3 linked regions of the Canis lupus familiaris genome follow. The protein of the gene in region 1 interacts with the protein of each later gene in a pairwise test. Links are inferred from orthologs where the notes say so. Each region holds a gene or a part of one and is shown in the gene's direction. Other genes may lie near its edges.

What was found.
Region 2: the proteins of RHEBL1 (region 1) and FHL3 interact in binary tests that used the Homo sapiens proteins (3 or more experiments, as listed by UniProt). The two-hybrid records come from large-scale screens. The link is inferred for Canis lupus familiaris from reciprocal best matches to the Homo sapiens genes RHEBL1 and FHL3.
Region 3: the proteins of RHEBL1 (region 1) and TXNL4A interact in a two-hybrid assay, tested with the Homo sapiens proteins (2 studies listed by BioGRID and IntAct). The link is inferred for Canis lupus familiaris from reciprocal best matches to the Homo sapiens genes RHEBL1 and TXNL4A.

Annotation. Positions count from the first base shown.
Region 1 is NC_049248.1:41,134,617-41,144,932, reverse strand, and holds RHEBL1 (GTPase RhebL1), read left to right. Parts: upstream 1-4,657; 5' UTR 4,658-4,897; coding exon 4,898-4,949; intron 4,950-5,579; coding exon 5,580-5,651; intron 5,652-5,996; coding exon 5,997-6,064; intron 6,065-6,360; coding exon 6,361-6,443; intron 6,444-6,530; coding exon 6,531-6,587; intron 6,588-6,779; coding exon 6,780-6,827; intron 6,828-7,171; coding exon 7,172-7,286; intron 7,287-7,410; coding exon 7,411-7,500; 3' UTR 7,501-7,925; downstream 7,926-10,316.
Region 2 is NC_049236.1:4,649,672-4,659,987, forward strand, and holds the start of FHL3 (four and a half LIM domains protein 3), read left to right. Parts: upstream 1-5,121; 5' UTR 5,122-5,208; intron 5,209-9,765; exon of another isoform or gene 9,766-9,832; 5' UTR 9,833-9,850; coding exon 9,851-10,006; intron 10,007-10,092; coding exon 10,093-10,267; intron 10,268-10,316. Other genes in the region: UTP11 (probable U3 small nucleolar RNA-associated protein 11), read right to left, coding at 599-661. UniProt on the Homo sapiens protein: Recruited by SOX15 to FOXK1 promoters where it acts as a transcriptional coactivator of FOXK1.
Region 3 is NC_049222.1:686,143-696,458, forward strand, and holds the start of TXNL4A (thioredoxin-like protein 4A), read left to right. Parts: upstream 1-3,573; 5' UTR 3,574-3,685; intron 3,686-4,043; exon of another isoform or gene 4,044-4,052; 5' UTR 4,053-4,086; coding exon 4,087-4,239; intron 4,240-6,140; exon of another isoform or gene 6,141-6,210; intron 6,211-10,316. UniProt on the Homo sapiens protein: Plays a role in pre-mRNA splicing as component of the U5 snRNP and U4/U6-U5 tri-snRNP complexes that are involved in spliceosome assembly, and as component of the precatalytic spliceosome (spliceosome B complex).

The DNA of each region.
Region 1 (10,316 bases):
TCTCTTCCTTATTTTCTTTTTCTTTAGAATGGTTTCTTCCTCTATGCTTCTAGCTATTCATACTGTGATGTGAGACTTAATATAATTTTGCCTCTAATTTTTTACTTGATAATCTTCCCTCTATAGCATTCAGAGGTATATCATTCAGAGTCCTTGGGGAAAACAGATTGCATCTTTAAATATAATGCAATATAACGTTAAGAAATGTAACGAAAGAGCTGTTCATACTTCCATAAAGTGTGGATAGGGTTAAAGAATATCAGCAAGAGAGGTGAAACATTGAGTCTGGCCTCAGTGAGGAACACTAGAAGTAGTAACCCCTAGGCCTGAAGGGGCCAGGGAAGGAAGGGTTACAAGAACCCAGAGAGATCTGTAAGTTGCTGTCGTTTAAGGAAAGGGCCACCCAACAGGGTCTGTGGCCTCTGGCAACCACATGAGTGAGTCCAGGAGACACAACAGAAGAGTTGCCAGTTCAACCCACGGAGTGAGGAGAAATAATATATATATTTAAACCATCAAGGTTTTGTCATCGTTGTTGTTGTTTTTAAGTACTCTCTATGCCCGGCATGGGGCTTAAACTCATGATCCTGAGGTCCAAAGTTGCATGCTCTACAGATTGAGCCAGCCAAGTGTCCCTGGAAGCCATACTTTAAAAAATATATAAAATAAATAAATAAATATATAAAAAATATATAAATAAATAAATACATAATTTGAGGGAGAGAGTGAGAGAGAGACAGAGAGAGAGAGAGAGAGAGAGAGCATGCATGATAAGAGGGAGGGGCAGAGGGAGACAAAAAGAGAGAAAGAATCTCCAGCAGACTCCCCACTGAGTGTGGAGCCTGACATGGGGTTTGATCCCAGGACCTTAAGATCACGACCTGAGGTGATCGTGGGTCCCTTTCTGAGGTCAGAGTAAGTGGCTCTTTGAAACAACTTTTGTAGATCTGGACTTTTTAAAGTATTAGGTAGTTCCACAGTATACAAGAGTTGGTCACTTAACTGACTGAGCCACGCAGGCGCCCCAGAACCCATACTTTTGATACAAACATAGTAAAAATGTTTTCACTTCTCAAGGAGATACTTAAAACAGTTTTCTGGGAGTATTTAATCTTTATTTTGTCTCAGTTGTTTGAGACATAGCAAAATATATGATGCCATCCCTAGAAATTTTATTCCAAGCCCATTTACCTGCCATTAGGATAGTTTACTTTCCTTAGTTGATTCTATATTCATGACCTGTGTATATCTGTGATCTTTACAAAGTAACCAATGATGCATTACTCTTTAAGGTGATTGATATTTAATAAACACATATCTTGGTCCTGAGGTGTGCAGGTCTTGTAGATTGGCTCCCTGAACATTTATTCCTAATCACCTTCTCTTAACCTTCCTTTATTATAGAGGGTAGAAAAGAAAACGTTAAAATTTCCAGGCTCTCAGGGATCCCTGGGTGGCTCAGCGGTTAAGTGCCTGCCTTCAGCCTGGGGCATGATCCTGGGGACCTAGGACCTAGGATCGAGTCCCATGTCGGGCTCCCTGTATGGAGCCTGCTTCTCCCTCTGTCTCTCTCTCCATGTTTCTCATGAATAAATAAATAAAATCTTAAAAAAAAATTTTTTCCAGGCTCTCTTGCAGCTTGAGATGGCCATATAATAGTTCGGTTTAAGGAAATGTAGGTGAAAATCTGCTGTGAGATCTTCTCTCCTGTATAAAAAGAAAAAGCCACGAGAGGAGGAAGCCCTTTGTCTTAGTCCTATTCCTTTCTTCCTGATTGAAAGCAAGAGAATTTGAGGATGATTTAATAAAGAGAATATTTACAAAGGTGCGAACAGGGTGTAGGAAAACCACAGGGGTAAAGTAATACCCTAGGGTGAGTATCAGAGCAGCTGTTACCCATGTAGGCCTGAAGGGGAGGGAGCAACCAGAAAACAGAACAAGAGGGAGTGTGTATGGGTGTGTGTGTATGGGGGGTGATGTGAGGGTGCTAGGACCTTCAGTGGGGGTTACAGATACTCTCCCCACTCCATCTGAGCTTCTGTGAGGGTTTCCCTTAGACTGAATTCTGCTGGGATGCAGGCAGCAAGGTCTGCCTCCTGGAAACCAATCTGGGTGGAAAAGAATAGAGAGTTAATCTGGAAAGACAAACAGCATAAAAGGCATCTCATTTATCTTTATACCCATACTGTGCTAACACGTGGTGAGAGTATCTGGTACAAAGCAGGAGATGAACAAATTTTTGTTGAATTTATTAAATCCAGTTCTTTGTTCTACCCTGTAGTGCTTAAGACTCAATCTGAAATCTCCACCAAGCTCACTCAAGCCAAATAATTCAACATAAAATTGCTAATCTGCAAGGAACTTCCTTTACCCAGTTGAAAAGGCATTTGGGTCCCTTTCAGAGGCCAGAGTAAGTGGCTCTTTGAAACAAGTTTTGTAGATTTGACTTTGTAAAGCATTAGATAGTTCCACAGTTATACAAAGCCTGTTCTCTTGGGATGCCTGGGTGGCTCAGTGGTTGAGTGTCTGCCTTCGGCTCAGGGCCTGATCCCAGGATCCAGGATCCAGTCCCACATTGGGCTCCCTGCATGGAGCCTGCTTCTCCTTCTGCCTATGTCTCGGCCTCACTCTCTCTGTGTCTCTTATGAATAAATAAATAAATCTTAAAAAAAAAAAGCACTTCTCCTCTAGTACAATCTAACTTACCTGAGACTTCAACAGGCCCTTTCAGAAGAAATAACTTCTGTGTGCTATCTATATGGCTAAGCCTCAGCTTTCACATCTGTAAAATTAGAGTCGTAATAGCTACCCATCATCAAGTCTCAGGTACAAATGTCACTCCTCAAGATATCATATAAACGGAGTACCATACCCCATCACTCTCTAGCCCATTAATACCTTGTTATTCCCCCCTTGCAGTGATTACTTTTATTTTTTATTATAGCTTATTTATTGTTTATTTGTAGATTATTGGTCTTCTCCCAAAAGAATATTTGCTCCTTATGAGCAAAGACCTTGTCTGTGTTGTTTATTGCTCTATTTCCAGCATCTAGAATGGACATGATTGTTGTTTGATAAATATTTGTTGATGAATGGATAAATAATACCAATTATCAACTTTAGGGCTGTTATGAATATTAAATAACATAATAATGCAATGCACCTGGCACAAAGTAGAACACCATAAATCTAGCTGTTGTTTTCTTTCTTCTTTTTCCCTCCCTCACCTCCTATATTCAGTCCTTTAGCAAGTCATTTTGACCTCAGCCTCAAAACATACCTGGAATTCTCTATCTACTTCATTCATCTCTACCAGCCTACTCCAGCCCCCTTTCCCTCTCACCTGGACTACAAGTAAGGCTCTTAGCTGATCTCCCAGCTTTTCCTCTTGCTCCCGTCAGCTTCATTCTTCACAGAGAGGTTGTTTTTTCTTTTTTTTTTTTTTAACCAGGGAAATCCTTTATTTTTTAAAAGATTTTATTTATTTATTCATGAGAGACACACAGAGAGGGCAGAGACATAGGCCAATGGAGAAGCAGGCTCCCCATGAGAAGCTGGATGTGGGACTCGATCCCCAGACCTGGGATACCACTGAACCACCCAGGAGCCCATAAACCAGGGAAACCTTTCAGAAACACAATTCAGATATTCAAATCATCTGCTGCTTTTTGGATACCCAAACTTTGCAAGGCCTGGCCCTCTGCCATCATCTTAGACTTGATCTGCTTTAGGCTGACATAAACTCTTCTCTCCCTTTCTCCTAGAATTTAACGAATTTATTTTCATCGCAGCACGCACAGCCCTGATGGATTCTTCTGCCAGAATTTAGTTCTAGCTAGCTCCTTTCTGTCTTTCAGACCTCAGTTTAAATAGGGATTCCTTTGAGAGGAAGTATTACTCAATCTAATGCGGTCATCTCTTATTTTACCACATTTTATAGCGCTCAATACCATCTAATATTTCCTTGTTTATATGTTTGTCTCTTCTAACTACGTTTTAAGCTTTGTGAGCACAGAGACCTTGTCTGTCGCGTTCGTTGCTCTATCCCCTAAGCTGGAACAATGCCTGCAGCATACAGTACCTGCATGATAAATATTTGTTGAATAAATGAATGCATTGATTATGATGATGGTAACCAAACTTCAGACGACCTGGCCAAACATTCTGACGACTTCCTCACGAATAACAATCGCATTTCCGAAAATCCTGGTAGACTGTGGAAATCTGTGGAAACAATAAAAAATCCTGGTAGACTGTGAAATCTGTGGAAACAATAAAAAAGATCTGGGGCCGAAATCTGGGGGAAGCAGAGGTAATAGAGCGGAACTTGGGCCTTTTCTTCCCTCTCCAAGGACTGCAGAGACCTCGCAAAAGGGCAGCCTAGAATCTTCTGACCAGAAATTCCCGCCCCGCCACAACGGGTATTTTTCCATGCATGATTCTTCGCAGCCACTTCTGCGAGGTTGAAAATGCGCAAACACCTCTAGGACCCCGAGTTCCTTTCTGTTTCTTTATGAATGAACCGGCTCTAGTCTGCGCAGGCGCAGCTCCGCGTTCTCCGGCTCCACGTGAGGCCCACCCTTCCCTCCCGCGGGCGGCCCCGCCCTCGTCCTTTCTAACGAGCCAATGGCGAGCGGCCTGGGGGGCGGAGCCCGGAGCGCGCGGCACTGTAGATCCCCCGGCGCCCGGCTCCCTCGCGTTAGTCTTGCTGTGTTGTGATCACGTGGCCAGCTCCGGGCGCGGCGCTTGTTTTGGTTTCCCTCTAGCAGGTCCCTGGCAGCTCCGGAGTGAGCGACTTTCCTGGGCCGGTTGCTGCGCCTGCCTCACCCCCTGATCTCCTCCTCCTGGGGCTCCTGCAGCCCGCAGCTCGGCAAGCCCCTCGGGGCCGGCTCCTGCCATGCCGCTAGTTCGCTACAGGAAGGTGGTCATCCTCGGGTACCGCTCTGTAGGTGAGTCTCCGCCTCGGGGAGAGCGCGGACGCACCGCGGCTTTGTGGCCAGAGGAGGCGCGCTGTCGCGGGAACGCGACCCAGAGAGGAATGGTGGCATCGTTAGAACGGGGTTGTAGGGCGAGGACTGAAAGGATGGAGGAGGAAAGGCTGGGGTGGTGGCGGCGTGTGGAGGGCTGAAGGAAGTAGGAGCGTGCAAGGGTTAACGCGGGCTTGGTTGCAGGAACACAGAGTGACCCCCAGCGTTACCCTGGGAGGGGTGGGGATGGGGTCAGGATTTGATGCTGAGCGGGGCGGGCGGGGGGGGGGGGGCGCGGTCTGTGCGGGGCCCGTCTCAGGTGTCCGGGTGCGGGGCAGACTTGATCCTAGGGGAATCCCGGATCTTCCCGGGGGTGGGGTGGGGAAAGGCGGCAGGAAAGGCTTCCTGCGGCGCTGCTGAATGCATCCGGTGGCTAGGGTGCAGAGACCCAAGGCGAAGAGAGAGTGAGGGTGGGCTAAGGAAAAACATTGCATGGCACCCGCAGGCTGGGCTGCTCGTGTGGTCCTCTTTAGTCCTGGGCCACAGCCCGAAAGGACAGAGGATGTGAATGTGGTTGGATGATTTGGCTACAACTACCGCTGCTTCCCACAGGGAAGACATCTTTGGCACATCAGTTTGTGGAGGGCGAGTTCCTGGAAGGCTATGATCCTACAGTGGAGAACAGTGAGTAGATTTCTCCCCTAGGGGTGGGGCAGGGAGGTCTTTGTTGCCCCACCCAATTCCATAATTTGGGATTTTTCTGGTCCCAAGGGGCTGATTTAATTAGCCATTAGATCTAATCTCTTCTGTAGCAATCCTGTTAGTGGAGCTAGAGTATGGGTTTTGCAGGATACTGCATCCAGGATGGTGTCGACTAGACAAAAAGAACCTGAAGGTTGTCTCTCCAGCTGCCTGGAGAGCCGCCTAGAGCTGGTCCATCAGAGTTATCCCTAGGGTTCAGAACATATCGGGGCACACATTGCTAGCCCTACAAGGCAACTCATAGTCAAGTTTTCTTTTTCTTTTCAGCTTACAGCAAGATAGTGACTCTTGGCAAAGATGAGTTTCACCTACACCTGGTGGATACAGCAGGGCAGGTACCAGTTTGGGGTAGGGTATCTAAACTTGGGGTAGAGTATCTAAACGCGGCAGTCCAGTCGGGGGAGAGGAAGTCTGGTTGCCTCTGTGGCTCATCTGTAAAGTAGTATTAAAAGGAAAGCATCTTAGCAGCTGGTAACGTGCCGTGCACATGGGAGCTACTCTGTACGTACTTGGTCAAACGGAAATGACTGCAGGAGGAAGTGCCCCAGAGAGGGTCCCCAGGACGCAGCCCACCAGCCTTTTGGCATCTGAGCGCTGCGTGGTTAGTGTTGATGTTTGTGTTTCTCGTCAGGACGAGTACAGCATCCTGCCCTATTCCTTCATCATTGGGGTCCACGGTTATGTGCTTGTGTACTCTGTTACCTCTCTGCACAGGTAAGTGACCAACATTGAGGTGGGGACTTGGGAGGATCTGAGGGCTGTCCCAGAATAAATTTATGGTTCTATTCCTTGTGTTTAAAGCTTCCAAGTCATCGCGAGCCTGTACCAAAAGCTACACGAAGGCCATGGGAAAACACGGTAAGTGGCCCTGGGAAGCAGACACACAGTGTGGACATGACGGGACGGAAGAGAGGGGAGGGTCCAAGTTACAGAGGAGGCCAGCTCAGAGCCTATCCGGCCTGCTGGGAGAATTGTCCAGCCCTGATGCGAGGGGAGTTGGGTTCCATGTGGAGCGGAGGGTATCCTGTAGTAACTCGTATTTCTTCACAGGCTGCCAGTGGTGCTAGTGGGGAATAAGGCCGATCTCTCTCCAGACAGGTAAGGAGATCTCTATGGCTCAAGGCAAAGGGAAGTGAGATGGACTAGCAGCCAGTCGGGTTCTAGTCCTGGCTCTGCCGCGGACTTGAACAAATTGTCTCACCTCCTTTCGCTTCTAACTTGAAGGTTAAGACAAGATAACCCTTCTATTGCAAAAGCTATACTTTCATATTTAGCCTCAGTCTGAGACTTCTGGGTTCTCTTTTATTTTCTCCTTCCCCAACCCACCTCCCAAACCTTGGAAGTGGGTTGGGTCAGAAGAAGTCTAGATTCTATATAACGATTTTGTAGAGAACATGGGGACATTGCTATCCTCCATCTTCATATCCCCAATTTGCTTCTAGGGAGGTGCAGGCAGTTGAAGGGAAGAAGCTGGCAGAGTCCTGGGGTGCAACGTTTATGGAGTCATCTGCTCGAGAGAATCAGGTGCTTGGGCTGAAGATTAGGGGCAAGATCAGGGTAGTAGTGTTTTTCTTATGGCACTGCTTGGTGGTGGGGATGGTGGGGGAGTGGGGTTTACACCTCTGAGCTGGGTCGTATTGGCAATGAACTGACTTTTTTGCCCGAATCTTTGTCCTTGCAGCTTACCCGAGGCATCTTCACCAAAGTCATACAGGAGATTGCTCGGGTAGAGAATTCCTATGGGCAAGAGCGCCGCTGCCGGCTCATGTGAGCCCTCAGGCATTGGGTAGCTGCCTTGATTCTGCCCCTGGCACTTGCCAGGCTCCAGCGGGTGTAGGCCCTTAGGACTTCACGGGTATGGTTGCCAGCTGTGTCCCCAGTCCTCTGGTCGCACAGTGTGGTACCCTCATGTTTGCACACTATTCCAGGCTCCAGTGGCCTGGTTGTCAATGTTTACAATGGGGCAAGGATGTCTCATGGGCACTGGCCTCTAGTCCTCTGTTTTTGCTAAATGAATTGTTATAACTTGCAAGATTGGCATATGAGTCCTAAGCATTGCTTATTTAGGACTCAGTCTTCTGTGCAGGTTTTGGGTGTTGGCTGGGTGAAGGGAGCTGGGGACTCCTGAAGTGGAGCTGGCTCCCTAGTGTGACAATGTATATATGCAAATAAACTGAGAAATCTTTTTGTGGTTGACTTCTGTATGTGGGGAATGCTTGGGGCCAGTATCTATTTTTCCAAGGAGTGGTGACTATGACTTTTGGTGGGGAATCAGGGCTCTTGCATTCTACCTTATTCCTATTCCTTACTCCTCACTCATTCAGGAGGACCATTATCTGAAGACTTACTACTTACTTTTTCCCACCTTTTTGCTAGGCTCTCCTATGCAGGTACCAGTTGGCTGCCACTCCCATCCAAGATTGTAGACTCAAGATCCCCTTAACTACAGAAACACCACCCTCTAGTGGCCAGCTTCCACATGCTGACCCAGCTTCCCTCCTGGGGCTTTGGCATTCCCTGGCTGGCGCTCAGAGAGGCTAAGGTTTGGGGAGGAAGGAAACTCCTCATCATAGGGATGTAATAACTGAGAAGGAGTGTAGAGGCAGGGACTAAAGTGTTGGTGAGGATTTTGGCTTTCGAAGAGAGTTGAGTAAAATAAGAAATAATGCCCCTGGTGTATATCAATCCTGCTCCCCATGTCCTCAGAGCCTTTCATTAAATGGATATTTGGTCTTTTCCTACCATTGGTGACCTCTTCATACCCTTTACATCTTTGGAATTGTGCCACTTTTTTAGATGTCAAAGGGTAATGCTTCTCTTTTTTTTAAAGATTTATATTAGAGAGGATGAGAGTATGCCTGAGCCCAGGGAAGGGAGGGGCAGAGAAAGAAACTCAAGTAGATTCTGGGAGCTCTATCTCATGACCTTGAGGTCATGGCTAAAGCCAAAATTAAGAGCCGGCTGCTCAACTGACTGAGCCACCCAGGCACCCCTACTTCTATTCTTTCTTATTGACCAGCCATCCCAGTAGGAGCAGACATTTCAGCTAGGTAGGGTTGGTCCTATCTGCCTCCGCTTTTCCTGCTCACCCTCCACCCCTACCAGACCTAGGGCCTAACTGGCCAATACCTCCTCTAAGGACCTATAAGGGTTGCTGGAATAGTGTATCCTTCATAGGGAGACACAGACTTCTCTTGCTACCTGAGGGAGCCTGAGGTGGGAGGATGGGGAGGATGGGCAAAGTCTTAGCTGTGACCTTGCCAGTGCCTGACTCTAGGCTAGTTGGGCTTACAGTTGGGGAGATTGTCCTGCCGGTCTTCAAAAGTGCTGCCAGCTGCTTTTGCATATCTAACTAGAATCTAAAAAATAAGAGCTGTTGGAAGGGGCATTATCCAAACAGCAATCTCAGTAGTTTGGGATTCTCTTTAGGGTTGTCACCACCCTCTTTTTTCTTACATTAAGATCGGGTCCTTTTCCACATCTTACCTGAAATACTCATCACAGGCTATCTATTGCCCTGCTGCCATTTCCATGAGGTCTAAGACAAGTCTTGTTTGAAATTTTCTAAAAGTGTATCAAACAATCTTAAAGGCCTGATAGAAGAATGAATATTAGTTAATGGCTAGGTTGGAATACTTTTCCACTTAGCTGTGTGACCTTGTATAGTCCCTTACCCTCTCTAAGCCTCAGTTTCTTATTTATGAAGTATAGTTCAACCTTCACAGAGTTGAGGTGAGAATTAAATTGAGGTGATATATGAAATGCTTAGAACAGTCATAATAAACTCTTAAATGGTGGCTATAGTGCTATTGGAGGTCTTTTTGGTGAAGGTCAGCCTCCTCATTTCTGGATGTAGAAGGTAGGGAGAGACCTAACATTTTCCAACTTTGTAAAAAGGTTTATTTTTAAAGATTTTATTTTAAGTAATACCTATACCCAACATGGGACTCAAACTTAACAATCCTGAGATAAACAATCACATGCTCTGACTGAGCCAAGCCAGGTATCCCTATTTTCCAACTCTTGTCTTGGTTAATTAATTAAAATATTTATTCATTCATGAGACACACACAGAGGCAGGGACACAGGCAGAGGGAGAAGCAGGCTCCTCACAGGGAGCTTGATGCGGGACTTGATCCCAGATCCTGGGATCACGCCCTGAGCTGAAGGCAGATGCTCAACCGCTGAGCCACCCAGGTGTCCCTTGTCTTGGTTATTTAGTATAGCTGAGACAGGTGTGGGGTCACTGCTGGACTTTTTGTTGAAATAAACCTGAATGGTCAGTGCAGGCAGGGTACGTGATGCTAGCATGGGCTAGCACAGGCTATTGCCTATTTCTGATCCCTCCTATGAACCTGGCTGGTAGGGATTTAGGTTTTCTGCACTGTCCAATATGGAGGCCACATATGGCTACTTAAGTTTTAGTATTAACGTTAAAAAGTTCCTCAGTTGCACCATCTACATTTCAAAGTGTTCAACAGCTACATGCAGCTAAGCCAAATTAGACAGTGTAGCTGTAGTGCATTTCCATTATTGCAGAAAATTCTATCGGACAACATTGTAAACCCTTTCCCACAAAGCCAGCCC
Region 2 (10,316 bases), on another chromosome or scaffold:
AGGTCTCCGCGGATTCTGCGCCAAGCCCACGCCTGACGGTGCTAACGTTACCATCGCCCATCTCCTGGGTCACAGACCCCCTGTGCAGTGAGCTGGGCGAGCACTCGGGATGGCTCCAGCTCCAGCAAGTGTGCGCTTTGATCTCACCTGTCCCCGCCCCCCCCAGAAGGTCAAGCACTTTGCACACAGTGTCTCGCCCAACTCCCTCACTGAAACCTCGCAAGACGTCTCCCCGTGGTGCCCAGGGGTGCCCAGGGAACGGGGAGCAGCCAGTGCTCCTCCCGGGGTGCTGGACGCCCCCAGCTCGCCCGCCGCAAGGCTCCGCCCCGGGCACCCGGCGCCCTCCGCAGACACTCGCGTTTATTTACACGCGCCCCCCCCCCCCATGCGCGGCAGGGACCCGGGCCCGTAGAGGGGGAGGGGGAGGGGAGGAGAGGAGGACGGAGGGGAGGGGACCGCAGAGGGAGGGGGGAGGGGAGGGAGAAGGAAGGGGAGGGGGAGGGGAGGGAGCCGCAGGTGGAGAGGAGGAGGAGGAAGGGGAGGAGGAGGGAGCACCCGCGGGCACGGGCCGGCGCTCCTGGGGCCCGTGCCGTCCCACCTGGCTTCGCTCTCGGTGTTCCCGCTGCCGGGACTTCGCCGCCTTCCGAAACGCCGCCGCCATGTCCGCTCGCGCTCCGGAGACAACGCCTGCCCCGCACCGCCTCGGCCGCCGCGTCCGCCGCGTCCGCCGATCCTCCCGGAAGTAGGCCGAGCGCCAGGGGCTTAGAACCGCCCACTTCCTCCGCGCAGCCTATCCGGCGCCTGCCTTTCCGGAACTTCGTCCTCCGGCAGAGGCGTCCAGCCCCGAAGCTGCCTCTGGGAAGTGTAGTTTCCTAGGTCTAATCCCGTGACTCTGCGAGAGTCCGTTCTCATTCGCCAGAGCTTGGGCACGTGTACCGAGATCTCGTTTTCGCGCTCGGCTCCGCGTTGGCACCTGAGAACACGTGGCTGGCACTGCCCTCGGGCTGAGCTGCGCGTGGAGTGTGCGCATGCGCGGGCCCCTGCCGCCCTACTCCCCTTGCTCTATTTGCGCGGTGCGGTTAAAGGTGGAGTCGTGTCAATGTTACCCTGCACCGGAAAGAGCACCCTAGAGTCAGGAGGCCTTAAAAGCCATGTTTGGCTCTGCCACTTACTGGCCGTGTGACTGTAGACAGGTCTCTTTAATGAGCATCATTTTTCTCGACCATAAAACAAGGATAATGATAGTGTGCTCTGCTTGCATCACAGGGACAGTCAAGAGGCTCACAGTAGAATGGAGGAGTTCTATCCTAGCAGTAGTGATAAAATTGGAGCCCTTCACACCCTCAGGGAAATGGCTAGCTGGGAGGACGAGTGTCAGAGGCAGTACAATATATTAGGGCCAAAAACCATAGAGGTGTGTTCTGATCCTAAACTGCCACCCACCACGACAAAATTAGCTCCAATGCACCTCAGTCTCCCCATCTATAAAACGGTAGTAATAATGCTACACCCACAGAATTGTTGTAAGGGATTAAAGGAACTAATATGTTTAAAGTGCTTAATGCCGTGCTCAGCCCTTAAACAAGTTCACAATCAATGGGAGCAATGGTTGTGGTTGTCATTGCTAAACCTACCGGTAAGGATAGAGGGGCCCGTACAGCGGAGCATTCAGGGGCATCTGGTTTCTTTTCCATCACATGAAGCTAACCCTAAGCAGGTTCTGTGCACCCTGTCATGACAGGTCTCGGCCCTACAGCTGAAGCGCTCTGAGGAAATCCTCTCCTCAGTCCCAGGAGGTGCCATTCCAGTAGATGGGTGGGCATGACAAAGCTGAAAGTAGCTGAGATGTGTCATGTGCAAAGGGTCCCAGACATGAACAAGCGTCTACTTCATTCGTGACGTAACCACTGAAAGACAAGGCCCTTCCTGATTTGGCCCACCACTCCAGCCTCAGCCCGGTTAACGGGACCCAGGAATCAGCCTTGGATTTGAACCGCATATGCACCACTATCAGCTTGGATTTGGGGCCACATTGTCAAATTCCCTGAGTGCCACATCCTACTCTATCATATAGTGGTAATAATATAACCAACCCATATAGCTTCTGTGAGAACCCAAGGAGGCCAAGGCTAGCACTTGGCATAATGGCCCGCATGTAGTCAGCATTTAGCTCTTCCGCTCACCTCCCCTCCCACCCCCCCACCCCCCGACCCTGCATACTCTATGGAAGTCGCTTACTTCACCTTCTACACCCATGGAGCATTGCCAGGCTTGGGGTCACGAGAATAGTGTTCCTGGGCAATCTGAAAGAGGGTGTCTGCTAAGCCATGAGTCCTGGCAGGGGCTCCAGGCAGCCCAATGGGTAAGAGCAGGCAATACGCCCAGAGAAGGAAGGAAGTCTTCTCACTGGGGAAAGGAAGGCTTGTGATCACAAGCATCAGGGAGTGATTCAGCACCCAGAGGAAACCATAAGAGGCCTGTCAGTTGTCACCCAGGGCCTCCTTTTAAAAAACGCTTCCAGGTTGAAAGAATAGCCAGGAGACCCTGAGCAAGCTCCCTTCCACCACAAGATAAGGAAAGGTGTATAGGGGCCTCCTGGGTGGTGGAAGGGGAACCCAGAGCCCACTCACCCAAGGCTAGTCATCCAGCAATCAGGCTCTTCTTCCAGCCCCAGCTCGGACACACCTGTTCCCCAGAGGGCGGGGGAGGCCTGATGGGAAACAGGAACAGGGAGTCCATGTGGCTGATCCCTAGACCTCCCTAAGGCACGTAGTCATCCTGGGCCAATGGAAATGTGAACCCACTGGGGAGCTACAAATGGGAAGGGGAAAGGACATAGCCCCTGCCCTATACCAGTGTCCCTCCCCCAGGCTAGGCCAAGCCAGAAATCTAATTTTCTCTAACCTCCAATCCAAGCAGCAGAACCTTAACACTTGACCGTGAAAGGGAATGTATTGGGGCAAAGCAAATCCCACATATTCAATACCTGTTGTATACTCTCCTCCAATATTCGCGAGAATGCTGTGAGTCAGGGAGTCAACCACTCTTAACCGATGAGCAGCCGGAGGGGTAAAGAGGTTGAGTGACTAAAGAGGCTGCAGGTCTGGCCAGTTAAGCTCTTTTTGGCATAAGGAGCTTTGACATTTGACTGTCTGGATTTGAATCCAGGCTTTGCTGTTATTAGCTGTGTTGCCCTTGGCAGGTTACTTACTCTCTCTGTATTTCCTTTTTTTTTCATCTTTAAAATAAGGATAAGAATACACATTTCATACAGTTGTTGGATAGTCAAGTGCATTAGTGTATGCAACGTGCTTAGGCAGGGACTGGTGCAAAGAACTTGGGAAATGCTGGCTCCTATTAAGGCTGTTCAGCAGAGATACAAGCCATGAGGAAACACTAGAGACCCCAACTCTACCTTTGATCCAGCAGCTTCCTTAGTCATACCCCTCCCTCTCTGAAAGCTGCTCATCTTTGCTCTCCCCTCACCTCAGAGCCCTTCCCAAGGCAAGGAGCCTCCTACACCTAGATGACAAAGGCCAGAGAAAGGCTCACCCATGCGCTGGCTGGTCACTCCCTGGACTCCAGGTAGCAGGTACCTGAGGTCCAAACTGGGGTGGGGAGGAGTTGAAACTGAAGCAGCGTCTGTCATTCATTCATTCGTTCAATATTTATTATATGGCAGACATAGGAGTAGGTACTGGGAATGTGGTAGTGAACAAGAAGAACCCAGTCCTGCCCTCATGGCCTCATGACAATCTAGGCATTAGGAACAATAACCAAGCAAATAGTTTAATTTGGGGAGGAAACCTGGCCTCGACGGTGACTTGGGATCCGGGAAGACAGGAATATGATTTAGAGATGGGAGAGGAAGGTATTCAGGAGGCCTGGCCTGGGAGCAAATGAGTCTCTGTTCTGAGAGCTTGGCTAGACCCAGCCTGGGGGATGGGAGAAGCCCTGTGGCACCTGAGTCTCTACTCTAGATGCTGAGGTTATTTCTAGAGTCAGTTTGTTGTCTCCTGTTTTGCAAACAGTACAGCACAGCCTCCTCCTCCCTTCCCCACCCTTCTAGATCGAGGCTATTTATGCCTAGTGACAAGCCTGAGGATCCCAGGGGGATTGGCCCAAGGACCTGGAGGGGCCTTGTGTCCCTGGCAGGCAGCAGTCCTCCCTCCTGGGGCGCAGGGAGAAAGCCAGAGGATTGGAAACTGTAGAGGTGGGGGAGGAAGGGTTCCCTCCACTTCCCTCCACCAACCCTGCGGTGCCCCATCCGCGCACACTCTTCACACCCCTCCCTGAGAAACCCAAAAACCATGGGGCCAAGGATTAGGGTCTCCCCTGGGCCTCAAAGGTCATAACTATTCCTGGGCACTGTGGAAACCCAAGGCCGAACTTCTCTGTCCCAGGGTGCCTCCGGAGGTGAGGAGGTGGGGGGTACTTCTGTTTTTGCCACTCAAAAGTTGTGAAATCATTGAAGGTCAAGGCCCAGTCTGGGGTCAGGCGGAGGCGGAGGTGGGGGGGTCCCTTCTTCACTCCCTGTTTCCAGAGAACACCTTGGTTCCCATTGATAGGGAGGGCCGTGACAGCAGAGTCAAGCCACCTCACACACACACACTCCCGGGCCTCCAGGCTTGATTAAGGCCCCTTTACAAGCTGGGTCTAGGTGTGACCCTGAGGGGATGAGCTGGAAGGTGGGAGTGGGGGCGCACGAAGAGGCCATGAGTGAGGACCCCAGGGGACTTGGGTGGGCTGGGTGCCGGCCCCCGTGCTGGAGATCGAGTGCAGCAGGCCGTCTCCAGCGGGCTGCTGGGGGGTGCAGGGGGTGCAGCAGGGGAGGGGACGGCGGAGGCGAGCAGGGGACGGGGGCGGGGTCCCGGCGCCGGGGAAGGTCGGGCGAGCCAGGTTAGACCCGCGGGCCCGAGGGGGGGTGTGGGCGGGGTCTGGCCCCCGGCCTGGGGGTGCGGGGCGGGGGCGGCCGGGGGCGGGGTCCGGGCGGGGCGGGCCCGGCGCGCACTTCCTCGGGGAGGGGTTGGGGCCGCGCTCCACTCGCCCGCTGGGTCCGTGCGCTCCGGCAGCGCCGCCGGCCGCCCGCTCGCCCCGCTCGCCCCGCTCGCCCCGCCCGCCCCGCCCGGCCCCGCTCGCCCGGCCCGCAGGTACGAGCCACCGAGGGACGCGCGGCCCGGCCTCCCCGCTCCCGCCGCCCGCTCCGAGGTGAGCTCCCGCCCAGGCCGGCTCCTCGCCCGGGGCCCCCCGACGCCCCGGGGGGCGCGCTTGGAGCGGGGGGCGCCGAGCCCCGGAGGGCGCCCCCCCACCCCCGGGACCGCCCCGATCCCGGCCGCCCGGCGGGGTGGGGGGGGCTGCTCGACACCTGGGGATGGGGGGGGAAGGGGCCAAGTTTGAAACGGAGAAGCCAGAGTCGAGCGCGGGACCTGGAGGGTTGGGGAAACTGAGGCTCCCTGAAAGCCGGGCGGAGCCAGACCAAGACGCGGGCCCGCGCGGCAGGCTTGGACAGGGGGCTGCACGGGGACCCGAGTCAGGGAGTCAGGGACAGGTTCTGGGGGCGTAGAGTCCCCGAGAGGGAGACCGGAGGCGTCTGGACGGACCTAGGTTTTGTGGGTTGGAGCACTCGAAGGAGAAGCGTCCCCTGACCCCGGTGAACACGGAGCAGCGCCCTTCCCAGGGCTTTGCAGGGTCCCGGGCGGTGAGGGGCCCCGAAGCCTAAGCTTCCTTAGCCCTGTGGCAGATCAGCCTCTGTGAGGCCTATGGAGCCGTCCAGAAACTGCAGACAGGGACGCTCAGGAACAGAGGTGCTCCGAGGAGGAAGCGAAGGGGTCGGGGTGGGAACCCCTTGGAGGCACTCAGTTACGGAGATTTGGGTGTACAGAGGTAGAAATGAGCAGAGGTCACTAGCCCGGGACACAGGTCCCCAAAACACGAAGACAGCTGAGGTGTGCAGAGGCTCAGTCGCGCTGCGTGGGGCGCAGCTGGCTTTGCTCGAGGCGCCCTGACAGCTTCCCAGACAGACCCCGAGACACGGAGGCCTGAGAAAGACTGGGAAGCAGGGGTGCGGGGAAACAGAGACTCTGGGCCAGCCAGAGCCCCGTGAGGCAAGGACCTGAGACAGGCACGTCGGAAAGGAGCCCCAGGCACACACCAAGACAGCCCCAACTTATTTTTAAACTCAAATCATGGACATGCTGCTTCAGCCCTGGGGGACCCGGGGTGAATGAACTGTTCCTCTCCTGTCCCCAAGGCAGCTGCTGGATCCCGCTTCCCGCCCTCCTTCCCCTAAACTGCTCTGACTCCCAGGCCCCATGGCGGGGAGGGGTGGGGAGAGGGAGAGTTTGGGGTTGGTGCCTGATACCGGAGGTTGGGGGCTGGGGGGGGTTAGGTTTCTCCCCTTAAATCTCCTGTCAGTTCCTGGGAGCTGGGAGGAGGGGTCTGATCTGATCCTGACTCACAGCTGTGAGGCCTGGCCAGGGTCCTCCCCGACAGTGCAGGGTGGATGGGGGCAAAGGAGTTGAACGGTTGGCATGGGCAGTTGGAAAGGCTTCTGGGTGCCTTCCAATGGCAGGGTTAGCAGCTGGGGGAGAAGAGTGAGACTCCTGTGCTAGTGATGTCACCGAGTATCTCCCACACCCCTGCTCTTAAAATGTTGACCACCCCGTTTTGCCACCGCTGCAGCATTTTTAGAGAGAAAAACAGGAAAGGGCTCCAGGCTGGGAAGCAGGGAACCTGGGCTCTCCGAGGCCTGAGTGACCTTGGGCCTGGCTTGTCCCTGTGCTCGACTGTAAGATGGGAATGACATGCTCTTCTGCCTGCCTTTTGGGAGATCTGGTGAAATAGTGGATGGGATTTCTCTTTATGGGAGGCCAAGCAGCATGCAGGTGTGTACACCTGTGTACCTGTGTGAGGGGTCTCAGGAGTTATGCTCATTGGCACCAGGCCGGCCCCACTGATCTCCTCAGGCAGCCCCACGGCCTGGGCTTCTTCACTTCCCCTAGTGGAACTGGGGAGTGGGGGTGGGGGTCCCTCTTTGGTCTATCCCTGAATCTACCCTGAGAATGTCCAGGTCAAAACCCAGGCCAGCTCCCTGAGCCAGGCCTGGCTCAGAAATTTGTCTGACCCCCGTATGAGTGAGGGGCTGATCATAAAAACGCCCACAGCTACCATTCACTGAGGAGTCCCTTTCTGCCAGGTGCTTTCCAAGCACCACCATTTCAGCCTGACGACAACCCCGGGAGAAGGGGGTAGGCGTAGAGGAAAACAGGCCCAGGAACCTTAAGTGACTTGCCCAAGATCACCCAGCTAGTAAGGGAAGAAGTCAGGATGCCCACCCCAAGCCACATTTGGGCCTACTATACACTGTGCCACAGCCATTTATCTAGCCATTCTAACCTCTGGGAGGCTCACTGGAAGGTGCCAGATGTGTGTGTCAGGTGTAGGGGTGGTGTGTGTGTGAGTGTGTGTTTGTGTGTGTGTTGAGGACAAGAGTTGAGAGCCATTTGGCAGACTGAGCAGTCTCCTCCGTAACCCCCCCTCCCCAGGCCATGAGGGAATATAAGACTGGTTCTCTTCAGTTCTCTTGCTGTGCCAGGGAAAGTGGGAGGGAGGGGAGGAAGGGGGATGGGCAGGGACAGGTGGGTCTCCATAGTGCCCTTCACTCTGTCCTCATTAGAGCCCAGCTGGACAAACTAGGGGACTGGGGGATTCTGGGAAAGAAACAGAAGCCATGCCCATACCCTATTTGGGGTGCCCCTGTTTCAGAGTGATGACTGCCTCCCAGAGGGTGGCCCCAGGGCTACCCTGGGCCCGGGAAGGTGATGGCTGCTGTGTGCCAAGCCAGAAAGGAAGGAAAAGATTTGGGGCACTCCCCAACGGACCACGGCCACACACTCCACCTGTGTGGCCCCCTGCTGCCCAGTGGCCCACAGCCCAGGCAACCCTCAGATGTTGGGCCAGAGGAAACCCAGGCCTGATTGGCGGGGAGCGGATGGAGAAAGAGGGCTGCCCTCTACCCCACAGCATAGCCCTGCCCCAGAATCACCTCTCTGAAGACCCCAGCCCCTGGAGGCCTCGTGGCCTGGCCCGGGATCGGAACTCTGTGTTCCCCCCACTCCGTGGTACAGAAGGGCAGCTTGGAGTTCACAAACCATCCCTTCAAGAGCCAGGCCCTCCAGGCTTGGGGCGTTTGCTGGCGCCTGGAGTCTGAACTCCAAGCCAGAGCAACGCTTCTTGGCCAGAATTTCCCACTGGGGGTGGCTGAGAAAAGGAGCACTTTTCCATCAACCCGAGCCTGGGCAGGCTCCGGGGACTGCCAGTTACTGGGGTGTGTGTGGGGGGGGAGGTAGTGAGCTGGTGGGTTCCTTTGTCCTCTCCAGGCTCCTCTGCAGCTGTGAGAACATCCCCTTCCTAGGAGTCTTGGTGGTTCCTCTCCACCCTCCCTGGGATCCCAGCCCTTAGAGAGCAGGCTTCATGACGAAGGAGGCTGGGGGTGGGAGCTCTGAATCTGGGGCCAGAAACTGGAGTCAGGGGCAGCAGAAGGGACTGGGAACCCCACTTCCCTGCCCCCCCCCCCCCAGTCCCCTTGCTCCTGTTCCAGAGGCAGCTGTGTGGATGACCTCATCCCGCAAACATGCTTTGTTCCTGAGAAAATGGAAAGTGTCTGAGGTTTGGTGGGGGCTGGGTGTCTGCAGCAGCAGCTCGCAGGGCTCCCCCCTGCCTGACTCCCCACTTGAGGGGGCCAGATTGGGGAGAAGATGTCTTCCATGGCTCCCACTCTCTCACCCTCCACTCCCCCCCCTACCCCAAACCCTCAGAAACCGGAAAAGCTGGGGAGAGGCTGTTTCTCCCAGAGGCAGGGGGAGGGAAATAATGACCTAGGGGGTTGCAAAGCTCTGCCAGGAGTGATGGCTGCCTGGAGATGGCAGGGGACACGCTGCATCATCTATGTTTTTAGTTCCCCTCTCCCTCCCCAGGCGTCTCAGGTTCCCTTTTTTTCCTCCCCTGTTGCTGGCCAGACCTGACATCTGGCCATCTGTGCTGCCACAGCTGCTGCAGATGTTGCAGGCCGAGGCTGCCCAGGCTGGTGTGACCAGAGACCCAGCAGGGGCTGGAGGGGGCTGAGGGCAGAGGGTCCAGCTGGGGAAGCTTGGCTGTGTCCAGCTTGCAGGATTTCCTTCCTGCTTAAACCCAGGCTGAGCCTCTGAAGTGCTTGCTCTGGCTGATTCTCCCGGAGGGAGGCCCGAGGTGACGTCCACCTCCACCATTCATGGCCCAGCAGCCCTCCAGCAGTCTGCTGGCTCCTGGACCAGGAGAGGGCGGGCACAGCCCATTCACATCCCTCGAGGTTCCTCTTTGCATATACCTAGGGGCCCCTTCCTGGGAGTCAGGAGAGGGTGGGAGTACTGTTCCTACGGGATACAGAGTGGGGTGGCTCCCTGCCCCTACTCTCGTCCCCATGGGGACAGTAGGGACACTGGAAGCTAAACTCAGACTGGGGCAGGAAATGAGTCACTGACCCAGGAAAAGCCCCCTCCCCCCAGATCTGCCAGGGCCCAGATAAGAAAACAACTTCTGCTTCCTGATTTTTTCCTGACCCCTTCTCCCCCCACCCCACCCCACCCCACTGTTAAATACAGAAATAAACATGCAGGACTCCTGGGTTTCCAGAAGCACCCTGTCCCCATCGCCCCCTGTCCTGACCTGGCATTTCTCAGACCTGGTCTCTTGCTCTTTCTTTCTTTTTTTTTTTTTTTAATCGCAAAGGACTTTTGCAGGGGGCCAAGCCACAGCCCTTCTGGGTGACCCGCACCCTACCTTTTGCCCCTGGCAGGGCTCACTCACAGCCACCATGAGCGAGGCCTTTGACTGTGCAAAATGCAGCGAGTCCCTGTATGGCCGCAAATACATCCAGACGGACGACGGCCCCTACTGTGTGCCCTGCTACGACAGCACCTTCGCCAACACCTGTGCCGAGTGCCAGCAGCTTATCGGGCACGACTCCAGGGTAAGGGCTGGAGCACACTGGGCAAGGAGTGGGTGGAGGCTGGCAGAGGGGCAAAGGTGCCATCGCCCCTGCCGTGCTCCCTGCAGGAGCTGTTCTACGAGGACCGCCACTTCCATGAGGGCTGCTTCCGCTGCTGCCGCTGCCAGCGCTCCCTGGCCGACGAGCCCTTCACGTGCCAGGACAGCGAGCTGCTGTGCAATGACTGCTACTGCAGTGCCTTCTCGTCGCAGTGCTCTGCCTGTGGGGAGACCGTCATGCCCGGTACGTCCCCGGGGCCCCACCATCCGCCTGCCACCCTGGCCTCCGCGCA
Region 3 (10,316 bases), on another chromosome or scaffold:
AGGAAATATCAGAAAGGGAGACAGAATATAAAGACTCCTAACTCTGGGAAACGAACTAGGGGTGGTGGAAGGGGCGGAGGGCAGGGGGTGGGGGTGAATGGGTGACGGGCACTGAGGGGGGCACTTGACGGGATGAGCACTGGGTGTTATTCTGTATGTTGGCAAATTGAACACCAATAAAAAATTAATTCATTATTAAAATAAATAAATAAAACAAATAAAATCTGAATGCTTTCCCTCTAAGATGAGGAACAAGTCTCTCTTGCCACTTCTATTCAACAGAGCAGGTAGGCAAAAACACAATGAAAAGCATCCAGACTATAAAAGTAGTAAAACTGTCCCTATTTGCAGATGACATGATCTTGTATATAGAAAATCCTAAGTATCCAACTAAAAAACTATTCCAAGTAATGAATGATTCAGCAAGATTGCAGAATGCAAGATCAGTATCCAAAGATCAACCGTATTTCTATACACTAGTTACAAATAATCTAAAAATATTTAAAACAACAATCCCATTTATTTATTTATGTTTAAGATTTATTTATTTATTTTAGAGAGACAGAAGAGGAACAGAGGAGGAGGAGAGAATCCTCAAGCACATTCCCTGCTGAGCACAAAGCCCAATGTGGTGCTCCATCCGAGGATCCTGAGATCATGACCTGAGCCAAAATCAAGAGTCAGAGGCTTAATCTACTGAGCCATCCAGGCACGTCAACAATTCCATTTAAATATCATCAAAAAAGAATAAAATATTTAGGAATTAATTTAACTTCCCTCCCTAAAAAAAACACAAGACGTGAACACTGGAAAATATAAAAGTCATAGAAATAAAGACCTAAGCAAATGGAAAGACATCCTTCACCCACTGACGACTCAACATTAAGATGGCAGCACAGTACTCCCTAAATTGGTGAAGAGTCAACACAGTCCCTGTCAAAATCCCAGCTGCCTTTTTTGCAGAAATTGACAAGCTAATCCTAAAGTTCATATGCAAATACAAGGGACCCAGAATAGCCAAACCAATCATGAAAAGGAATAAAGGTGGAGGGCTCATACTTCCTAATTTCAAGACCTACACAAAGCTGTATCAAGAAAGTGTGGTACCTACATTAGGCTACATACATACCTACATACATATCAGTGGGATAGAACTGAGAATCCAGAAATAAATCCTTACATTCAAAATCAACTGATTTAAAAAAAAACAAAACAAAACAAAAACAAACGGAACCAAACCAAACCAAAACAAACAAACAAAAAACAAAATCAACTGATTTCCATCAAGGGTGCCAGGACACTCTGATAGGGAAAGAAAAATATTCCCAATAAACGGCGTCAGAACAAGTGGATGTCTAAATATGCAGAGAATGATGGTGGACACCTAGCACCCACATACACAGAAGTTCACTCACAGTGATCAAAGACCCAAATGTGAAAGTTAATGGAGGTGCCTGGCTGGCTCAGTCTGTGGAGCATGCAACTCATGAGTTCAAGTCCCACACTGGGCCTAAAGCTTACTTAGAAAAAAAAAAAAAAAAAAGTTGTTTAAAAAAAAAAAGAAGTTAAAAATTCTTAGAAGAAAGCAGGAGTAAGCATTCACAACATTGAATGAGGTAATGGTTTCTTAGATATGACACCGAAACATACAACACCACAGCAACAAAAGGAAATGATGAACTGGACATAATGAAAATTTAAAACTTTTGGGCTGCAAATGATGCCAATAAGAAGTGTGGTCAACAGAATGGGAAGAAATATTTTAAAATCATATATCTAATGAAACTCTTAAAACTCAATAATAAAGATAACTTTTTTTAAATGGGCAAAGGATATGTACAGATATTTCTCCAAGTGGGGGATAAGTATGTGAGAGGATGCTCTGTATATTGTTAACCATCACGGAAATGCAAGTCAAAATCACAGTATCAGGGCACATCTACCACAAGGCTGTAATAAAAAATACACAAATAACAAGTGTAGGCAAAGATGTGGAGGGATCAAACCTCTCACGCTTTGCTGTTGGGAATGTTAGAAGGTGTAGCCACGAGGCATCTGGGTGGCTCAGTAGGTCAACGTCCGCCTTCCGCCTTTTGGCTAAGCTCAGGTCGCGGTCTCTGGGTCCGGGGTTTGGAGTCCCCGCAGGGCCTGCTCGGTGGGAAGCCGGCTTCCCCTGCCCCGCCTCCCCGCCCCACCCCTCCGCCGCTCCCCTACCCTACGACTTGGGGGCATGCACGTGCTCTCTTGAATAAATACAATAAAGCTGCAGCCATTCTTGAAAACAGTTCGTATTCCATAAAATGTTAAACACGGTTATCGCGTGACCCCGGCTTTCCACTCATATACTCTTAGGGAAGCGAAAACCTAAGTCCACACAAACACAAATCCAGATGTTCACAGCAGCATATGCACGACGGCCAGAAAGTGGAAACAGCCAAATGTCAGACGATGGATAAATGAAATGCACACACTGGGTGACGGGCCCTGAGGGGGCACCTGACGGGACGGGCACGGGGTGTTATTCTAGATGTCGACAAATTGAACACCAACAAAAAATAAATGTATAAAAAATAAAAATAAAAAAATGCACACATGCGTATGATGAAGTGGTAACCAGCACCGAGGACCGAATCCTGACGCCCGCGGACAGCGCGGCCTGGAGAAGGCAGTCCCGGGCGATGTCCCGGTCGGTCTCCGCTCGCACGAACTGCCCGGGGCAGGCGGGGGCAGGGAGGCGGGCGGGAGTCCGCGGTCGCCGGGGCTCAGGGACCGCGGGGAGTGGGGACGACCAGCCGACCGCGCTCGGGCCTCCCCCCAGCAGGACGGGAGCTGCCCCAACGGAGACCGCAGTGGCGCTTCTACGACCCCCCGGGGCTGCAGCGCGAGGACCCCACAGGACGTGGGGGATCCTCCGTCAGCTTCTTGACAAAAAGGACGCGCCCGGAGGCGGACGGGGCGACGGGCGACAAGGGCCGTGCGTGTTTCACACGGTGACCCACACCTTAGCTGGTCTTCTGCTGACGCGGCGACCGCACAGCGGGGCCTAGTCTGCCCTGACCGCCCCGGGGACGGCTGTGCGGTGAGCAGGACGGGCCTTCCCCAGCCCGTCACGTCACGGTCCTCGGCCTGTCCCGTGTGCCGGCCCCGTCCCCCGGCTCCCAGCGCTGCTCCCCGCCGGGACCCGAACCGCACCTCGCAGCTCCGCTCGGCCGGCTGCCCTCGTCACACCCCCAGGGCACGGGGGCGCCGCGGAGAAGCTGGGTCGCTCCGAGGGGCCTGACTGGGGCTGAGAATCAGGCGGCAAAGCCGGGCCCCCCGTGACCGCGGCGACACCTCAGGAGACCGACCCCGCGGGGTCCGGGGGCCACCGGCCGCACCGCCCGGGCGCACACGGGAGCCCCGGCTCGGTGTCCCTCCCTCCCGGCGCCGGGCGCGCGCGGCCCCTCGTCGGCGGCCACGCGCACGCGCACGCGCACGCGCACGCTCACGCTTACGTCGGGCGGCCACGCGCACGCGCACGCGCACGCTCACGCTTACGTCGGGCGGCCACGCGCACGCTCACGCTCACGCTCGCGTCGGCGGCCACGCGCACGCTCACGCTCGCGTCGGCGGCCACGCGCACGCACCGACCGGCTCGCGTCCCCGCCGGGAAGGGCTGCCGCGCGGGAGGCTGCGGTCGGCTGAGGTGCGGGCGGACGGAGCGGGGAGCGGGGGCGAGGGAGGCAGGGGCTGGCGTCTGCGGGGCGTCCTCGCGGCCCCGTTCTCCTTCCAGGGGTAGAGCTTGACAGGGGCCGGGGCCGGGGCCGGGGGCCGGGGGCAAGGTCTGCGGGGGTCCCAGGCCCTCCCCGCGGCGGGACCGAGGGGCACGGATGGGGGCGACCCCGGGGCCTCCGCACCGGGGACTGGGTCTGCAGGGCGTCCCCTCAGTGCCGTCCCTCTTCCAGGGGTCGGGGGGGTGAGGTCTGCTGTGGGACCCAGGGGCGCGGGCGGGTGCGACGTGCAGCCCTTGCCCGCAGTCGGCCGCAAGGAGCCGGTGCGCACAGTTCCCGCAGGTGTGCCCGCAGGTGTACCCGGAGCCGCCCCGAGATGTCGTACATGCTCCCACACCTGCACAACGGCTGGCAGGTGGATCAGGCCATCCTGTCGGAGGAGGACCGCGTGGTCGTCATCCGCTTTGGACACGACTGGGACCCCACGTGTATGAAGATGGACGAGGTGCTGTACAGCATCGCGGAGAAGGTAACACAGCCCCCCGCCCAGCGTCAGCCTAGGAAGCTGTGGTCTTTGGTTTGCCCCGTTTGCTAGGTGGCTGCAGGGTTGGAGTGAGGTGACCGCGTGCAGGTCCTCCTCTTCCTCCAGGCTGCAGAGGCGCAGCAGGGTCCAAGGGCCTGACCCCCGCGTGGAGGCTCCAGGCCTCAGAGGGTAGGGTGCGGCGGGCTCAGGGGGCCTGACCCTGTGCCCCGAGGCTACGGTCCTTCCGTGGGAGCAGTGTGTCCCTGGTCTCCAGGTTTTGAAGGGGTTCATGGTGCCACCTCCACGGAGCTGGGAGCAGCACACCTAGGGACTTCGTGGAACGCCATTTTAGCCAGGTAGCTGCACAGGATTGCCAGTTTTTGGTGCTTTGCTCCCTGTGTGTGGGAGGCAGTCGTGCCTGTCAGGGGAAGGAAAGCCTGTTCTCCATCCCGGTCTTTGTGCCCTAAGTGCACTCCTAGCTCAGACGTGCTCTGGGAGACTTGCCTGGTTGGACCCAGTCTGGGTCACCATGCTGGCACCCTGGCTTGTCGGAGGCTCTGTTGGCAGTTCCAGAACCAGCAGCACCTGGTGCTCTCCTGTGGGCTCTGTGGGCTCATTTCAGGAGAACTTTCATTTGGATGTGTAGTTGTAGCCAATTCATAGATTACTTACTGATATTCCGTAAATAAGGAGAGGTCAAGAGTAATGGAAACATTAAAGCCATGATTTCTTTCAGAGGAAGAAGGGCTTAAGATAGCTCAGTACATGGTAACAGGTGTAGGGACAGATGTGTCTGGGAAAGGCGAAGTCTCGGGGGTCAGAGCAGGACCCCACATTGAGGTTAGTTCACTAACAACTATCTGACCTTCCACTGCTACTTTTTCTGATCTCCTGTGTGGCGGGAGAAGCCAAGCGAGGCCGGGTGGTAGCACTGGGAACCGTGGAACTGTGGAGGCCGTCTTTCCGGTCAGTCACGTGAGGATCGCTTGGAAGACTTGCTCAGGTGCACCTCCGAGGTTCTCGTTCTGCAGGTCTGGGGTGAGGTCCACACACAGCTCTGCCCAAAAGCTGCCCTGGGAATTCTGAAGTGGCTTCCAAAAACCACTTGGCAGAGTTCGGGATCAGAGTAAGGGTGCTGGGAGACTGGCCGTTCCCTTTCTCTTCTTGGGGAGCCTGAGGAGGTGCCTGGGGAGCTCGGGAGAGCTGCGGCGCCAGTTTGTCGCGTCAAAAGCAGACACTGCTGTGGTCAGTGAAGAACCACCTCCAAGCACTTTCCTGAGAAACACCATTGCTGCTCTGTTGACCTTGAAATAACGTAGGGTGTGTGTTCTGAATTGTGCGGGGCATGTGGGGGCATAAACACCAGGTGGTGACCAGCTCCTGCTGCCCTCGGTGCAGGGTCAGGATGGTTAGAGACGGGAGGCTCCTTTGGCTCTTCATACCCAGGCAAAACCCAGCAAGACGCTCTTCTTTGGGAGACAGATTTTGTGTTAACCTGAGCTCTTAGGGACTTTCAGCAAGTTGTTTGTTCTTTTCCCATCCCTGTGTGTCAGCTGTAGGCTGGACTGCGGGATCACTGAGGAACGCACTCTGGGATCGAACCTACTGATAAGAACAGTTTAGTTGGGCTCACTTTGAGTATTTGTCTTTGTTTTATCTTTAAGGTACTTTTTCTTTGGTCCAAAAATTTGGATTTCTGTTTTAATAAACTTTTAATATTATATAGTACAGTTATTAGAAATGCAAACTTGAAACTCATCACAAGATAATTGTTTTATTTTCTTCTGTGTAAAGGCAAAACATGAGTTTATAATTCTGGAAGTCCTTCTTGAGCTCAACAGGAATTTTTGAAATTTAAAGTTTTAGTATAAAGAACAACTTAACTATCTAAAAATCTCCCTCTGCAGAAATGGCAGATAGTGGGGGATCTTCCTCATCCTGTCTCGAGCCCTGTTTGGATACCCCAGCTGTTTTAAAGTGAGTAAAAGTTCCACCGTTTAGGCTGGACTTGATTAGATTGTTTCTCCGGGAATGTGGTGTGTTGACTTGATGCTTTGATGGTGCCAACCATCATGAGGCCACCACCTCATGCTGTATTAGTTTTGAGCTGCCCTGAAAACATGGGAGGTAAGCTTAATGATTTTACAGATGTCTGGAGCTTGGTAGAGTGGTAATAACAAAGTTTCCTATTTAAAATCTGATTTTATGCACAGCCTCAGGGAGAGGCTGTGTACCTCTGAGCTGTCTTACCATTTTGCAGGAACAGTTTGTCACAGCTCGCTGTTAACTTAAACCCCACGATGGGGAAGAATAAATGGGACTTTTAATTTTTGCATGTTAAAAAAAAAAACCCATGCAAATAGTTTAAGATCTGCAAAACCTCGGTGACATCATTGATTCAGGATCATACATTCAAGAAAATTGTATATGAGACAAATAGACATGGAACTTTTTGGAAATGATTTTAAGGGATCATTCTTAAGTTGCATAAAGTAAATTGAATCTTTCTGGAGGTGACGTGCAGTCAAATGAGGTATCTCATACGCGCCAGGAACTTGTGTATGTTTGCTATGGCTTTGTGTTTCTGGGTGCAGTGACCTTGGAGCTAGCAGCAGGCTATGAGGGGCAGCATGGAGTGCTGGTGTCTGCTACGTGCTCCCCGTGTGATCCTACATAACTTGTCTCTGTGCCTCACTTTACTGTCTGCAAGAAAGGGGTAGTAGTGCCTAACCCATTGATAGTCGTGAGGATAGAATTAGCATAACAGGCTTCTGGACCACTTCCTGTCACGTGGCAGGTAACACAGGCAGGAGTCATTAGCCACTGTTATCAGTGACCTCGTCATTCACGTTACAGAAGTTGCTAATCAGGCAGACAGCTTGGGAAAATAAAGTCATTGCGCAGTATTTTTGAGGCTTCGACGTGAATTACCTAAAAATGGACTCTTTGGAACTAAAATACATTGTGCCAATTGACAGTCCAGAACATGCTCCCCAGCTTCCTGGGTGGGTTCTTAGCTGGAGGAGCTCTGTGGGAAAGGTTGGACCGGTGGCCTTGTGCTGCCCTTCTTGCCTTAGTGATTTGCGTGAGTCCTGTCGACTTGGAAACAGATTTAGTGGCATATGATGAAGGACGGCTGCACAGCTTGGTCAGTGACTTGTTGAAGGAAAAGGAGGTGTGCTTATAAAACGTGTAGGCGGGCAGCCCGGGTGGCTCAGTGGTTTAGCGCCACCTTCGGCCCAGGGCATGATCTTGGAGACCTGGGATTGAGTCCCACGTTGGGCTCCCTTCATGGAGCCTGCTTCTCCCTCTGCCTGTGTCTCTGCCTCTCTCTCTCTCTCTCTCTCTCTCTCTGAATAAATAAATAAATCTTTAAAAAAAAAAAAAAAAAAGAGGACTCCCATGGGTAGAGAGGCAAAGAACCTAAAAAAAAGAGATCCTAGTGGTTAAGTAAGCTTCAGAGATGCACACGTTGAAGTAGCATGCTGCCGTTTCTCATACGTCAGAGGGAAGGAATTTACTGCAGTGGTGCCGAGAGGGTTAATACTGACACACTTCTGGAAGCAATTGGGCATCGCATGAAAGGCCTTAGAACTCAGTAGCCCAGCTCTCCAGTCCTAAAGAGGACTCTTCTGCTCCACGGGACATTTGCTGTGATTTCTCAGCAGAGCTGGAAGCAGTGAAAGGGTCGGTGATAGGACAGCAGCGTGACGACTGTAATCTCTAGATCATGAGCAGGTAACCCCCGTGTGACCTTCACATCCCTGAGGCAGGTACACCAGGTCACTTGTTCAGGCTGCGAAATGGACAGTTGGGATTTGAATCGGGAATGTCTGCTTCACCCGATAGTGTATTATTTGGCTGCTAAAAAATTATTTTAGAAATCATGTAGAAAAATGATTTTCTAAATACTGTGGGCATTTGCTAATGATGTCAGCTGGAGAAAGGAGGGCAAACATGACTTCCTCACACGTGAGTGTGTGGGCCTGGGGAAAGGGAAGGACTTTTCACTACAAGACACTCCTATTGATTTTATTTGATTGTTGTATATTTTTAAGTTCTGTAACTTGTTTAAAAAATACTGGGCTGGAGCACCTGGCCGGCTCAGTCAGTGGAGCGGGCGCTCTTGATCTTGGGGCCTTGATCAAGATCACGCATTGGGGTTAGAGTTCACTTAAAAATACGGGGCTGGACACATGGCAGTGGTTTTTCCATTCTGTTTCTCTATTTTCAAAGTGAATCTTTTTTAAATAGAGAAAATAGAGTAGACCCCTAGTTTCATTTCAGTTTTATAAAAAATACACAGGATTGTAGTGGATCACAGATTCCCTACCAGGTGTGACACGGGTGAAATAGATGAGACTGTTGTGGAAGGGCTTGAGATGAGAAGCCATGTAGCCCATGTTAGGAGAAGCTTTGGCAGACGGAGGCTGTTCAGAGGAAGGACACTGTCGGGCGGCCCAGAGTTGGAGGAAGGCCCCAGAGCCGCGGGACGGCCATCACCTGGCCACGCTCCTGATGGCCACCCCTCCCTTTGCAAGGACTTGAGCTGCAGGAGCTTGAGAGCCTCCCAGGAAGGCACCAGACCATGCCTGAAGGCTGGTCTGCTTGAACTCCAAACTCAGGATGACGTCACTAAGCTCACACTGTCCAGAAACACATTTTTAGTGACATTATGTTTCTTGCCTTTCGAAATACAAGTTTGTTGTTAAGATTCATTCAGTAAACATATTTACCGGTGCTGTGTGTGAGTCCGGTACAGCGAACTCACGGTGCCCAGCCTCAAATTTGCCTGCAGAACCATGATGTGATTCATATGGATGGGAAGGAAACAAGTAGTGGGTGTCACTTGGTGGTTTATTGTACTTTTTTCTTTTTTTCTTTTTTTTTTTTTTTTTTGAGAGAGAGAGCATGTGAGTGAGTGGTGGGAGGAGCAGGAGGGGGGGCAGAGGGAGACCCCAGCAGAGACTTGATCCCACGACCCTGGGACGACCTGAGATCACAGCCTGCGCTGAAACCAAGAGTTGGACACTCCACCTGACTGCGCCACCCAGACACCCCTGTTTATTTTACTCTGAATAAACTACAGTTTTCTTACTCATCATTGGAGGCTAAAGGAAAGAGGTCCCGCTCTTAAAGTTTCACTAAAAAACCAACATTTAGGGGCTCCTGGGTGCCTCAGTCAGTGGTGCATCAGGGCATGATCCTGGAGTCCTGGGATCGAGTCCTGCATTGGGCTTCCTGCTGGGACCCTGCTTCTCCCTCTGCCTGCGTCTCTGCCTCTCTCGGTCTCTCTCGTGAATAAATAAGTAAAATCTTTTTAAAAATCTTTTATTTTAAACCATAGTATCTTTGTTTTATACGTAGAAAGCAATAAAAGAAAGTGTCTCTGCTTAGTGAAATTCTAGTGTAGGCAGGATGAGAACTGGCAGGGTCACTTTGCCAGGACCGCTCCGCAGAGGAGAGTGCTGCTATCTGGGGGCGGCTGTGGAGTGAAATAACACTTTGCACGGAGGCTCTTTGGGCCTGTATGCTGCTCAGCTGCCTTCTCCTGTTTCACCAGGAAAAGAGGGAATTGGGGGTGGCCAGGGGAGGCCCTGCCTCTGCACCGTCCCTCAGTGACATCCTTTCTTCATGGCCCCCTCCTAGTGGGGCCGGTCCCTCTTTAGTGCCTTGTGCTGGTCGCACCTCAGCCCTGCGCTGTCTGGCACAGTCACTGGTGGATGACCTTCCAGTAGCCAGAGTCATGGATGCACGTGGACTTCACCTGCCTTGACCACCTACCTCCCTGGACAGGTCCCCGGTCTCGGTTTGTGAGTGCATCTCCTTGGCCACCCCTTACCTGCCCTTGGCTCTGCAGTGGCTACGGCCCAGCCCCTGTTGGATGTAGGCAGTGGTGCCCAGAGTACAGCCACACCAGCACACCAGCATGCCTTGTAAGACTGTCTCTACAGGTGCTCCTTCGTTTCCTCAAGTTTCCAAGCCCTCCTTACTTGTAAACAGCTTCATCACCTGAACTGTGGCCTAGAAGGTCCCCAGGCTCACGTTCCACCTCTATCTAACCCCCTTCCCGGGCACTGCCT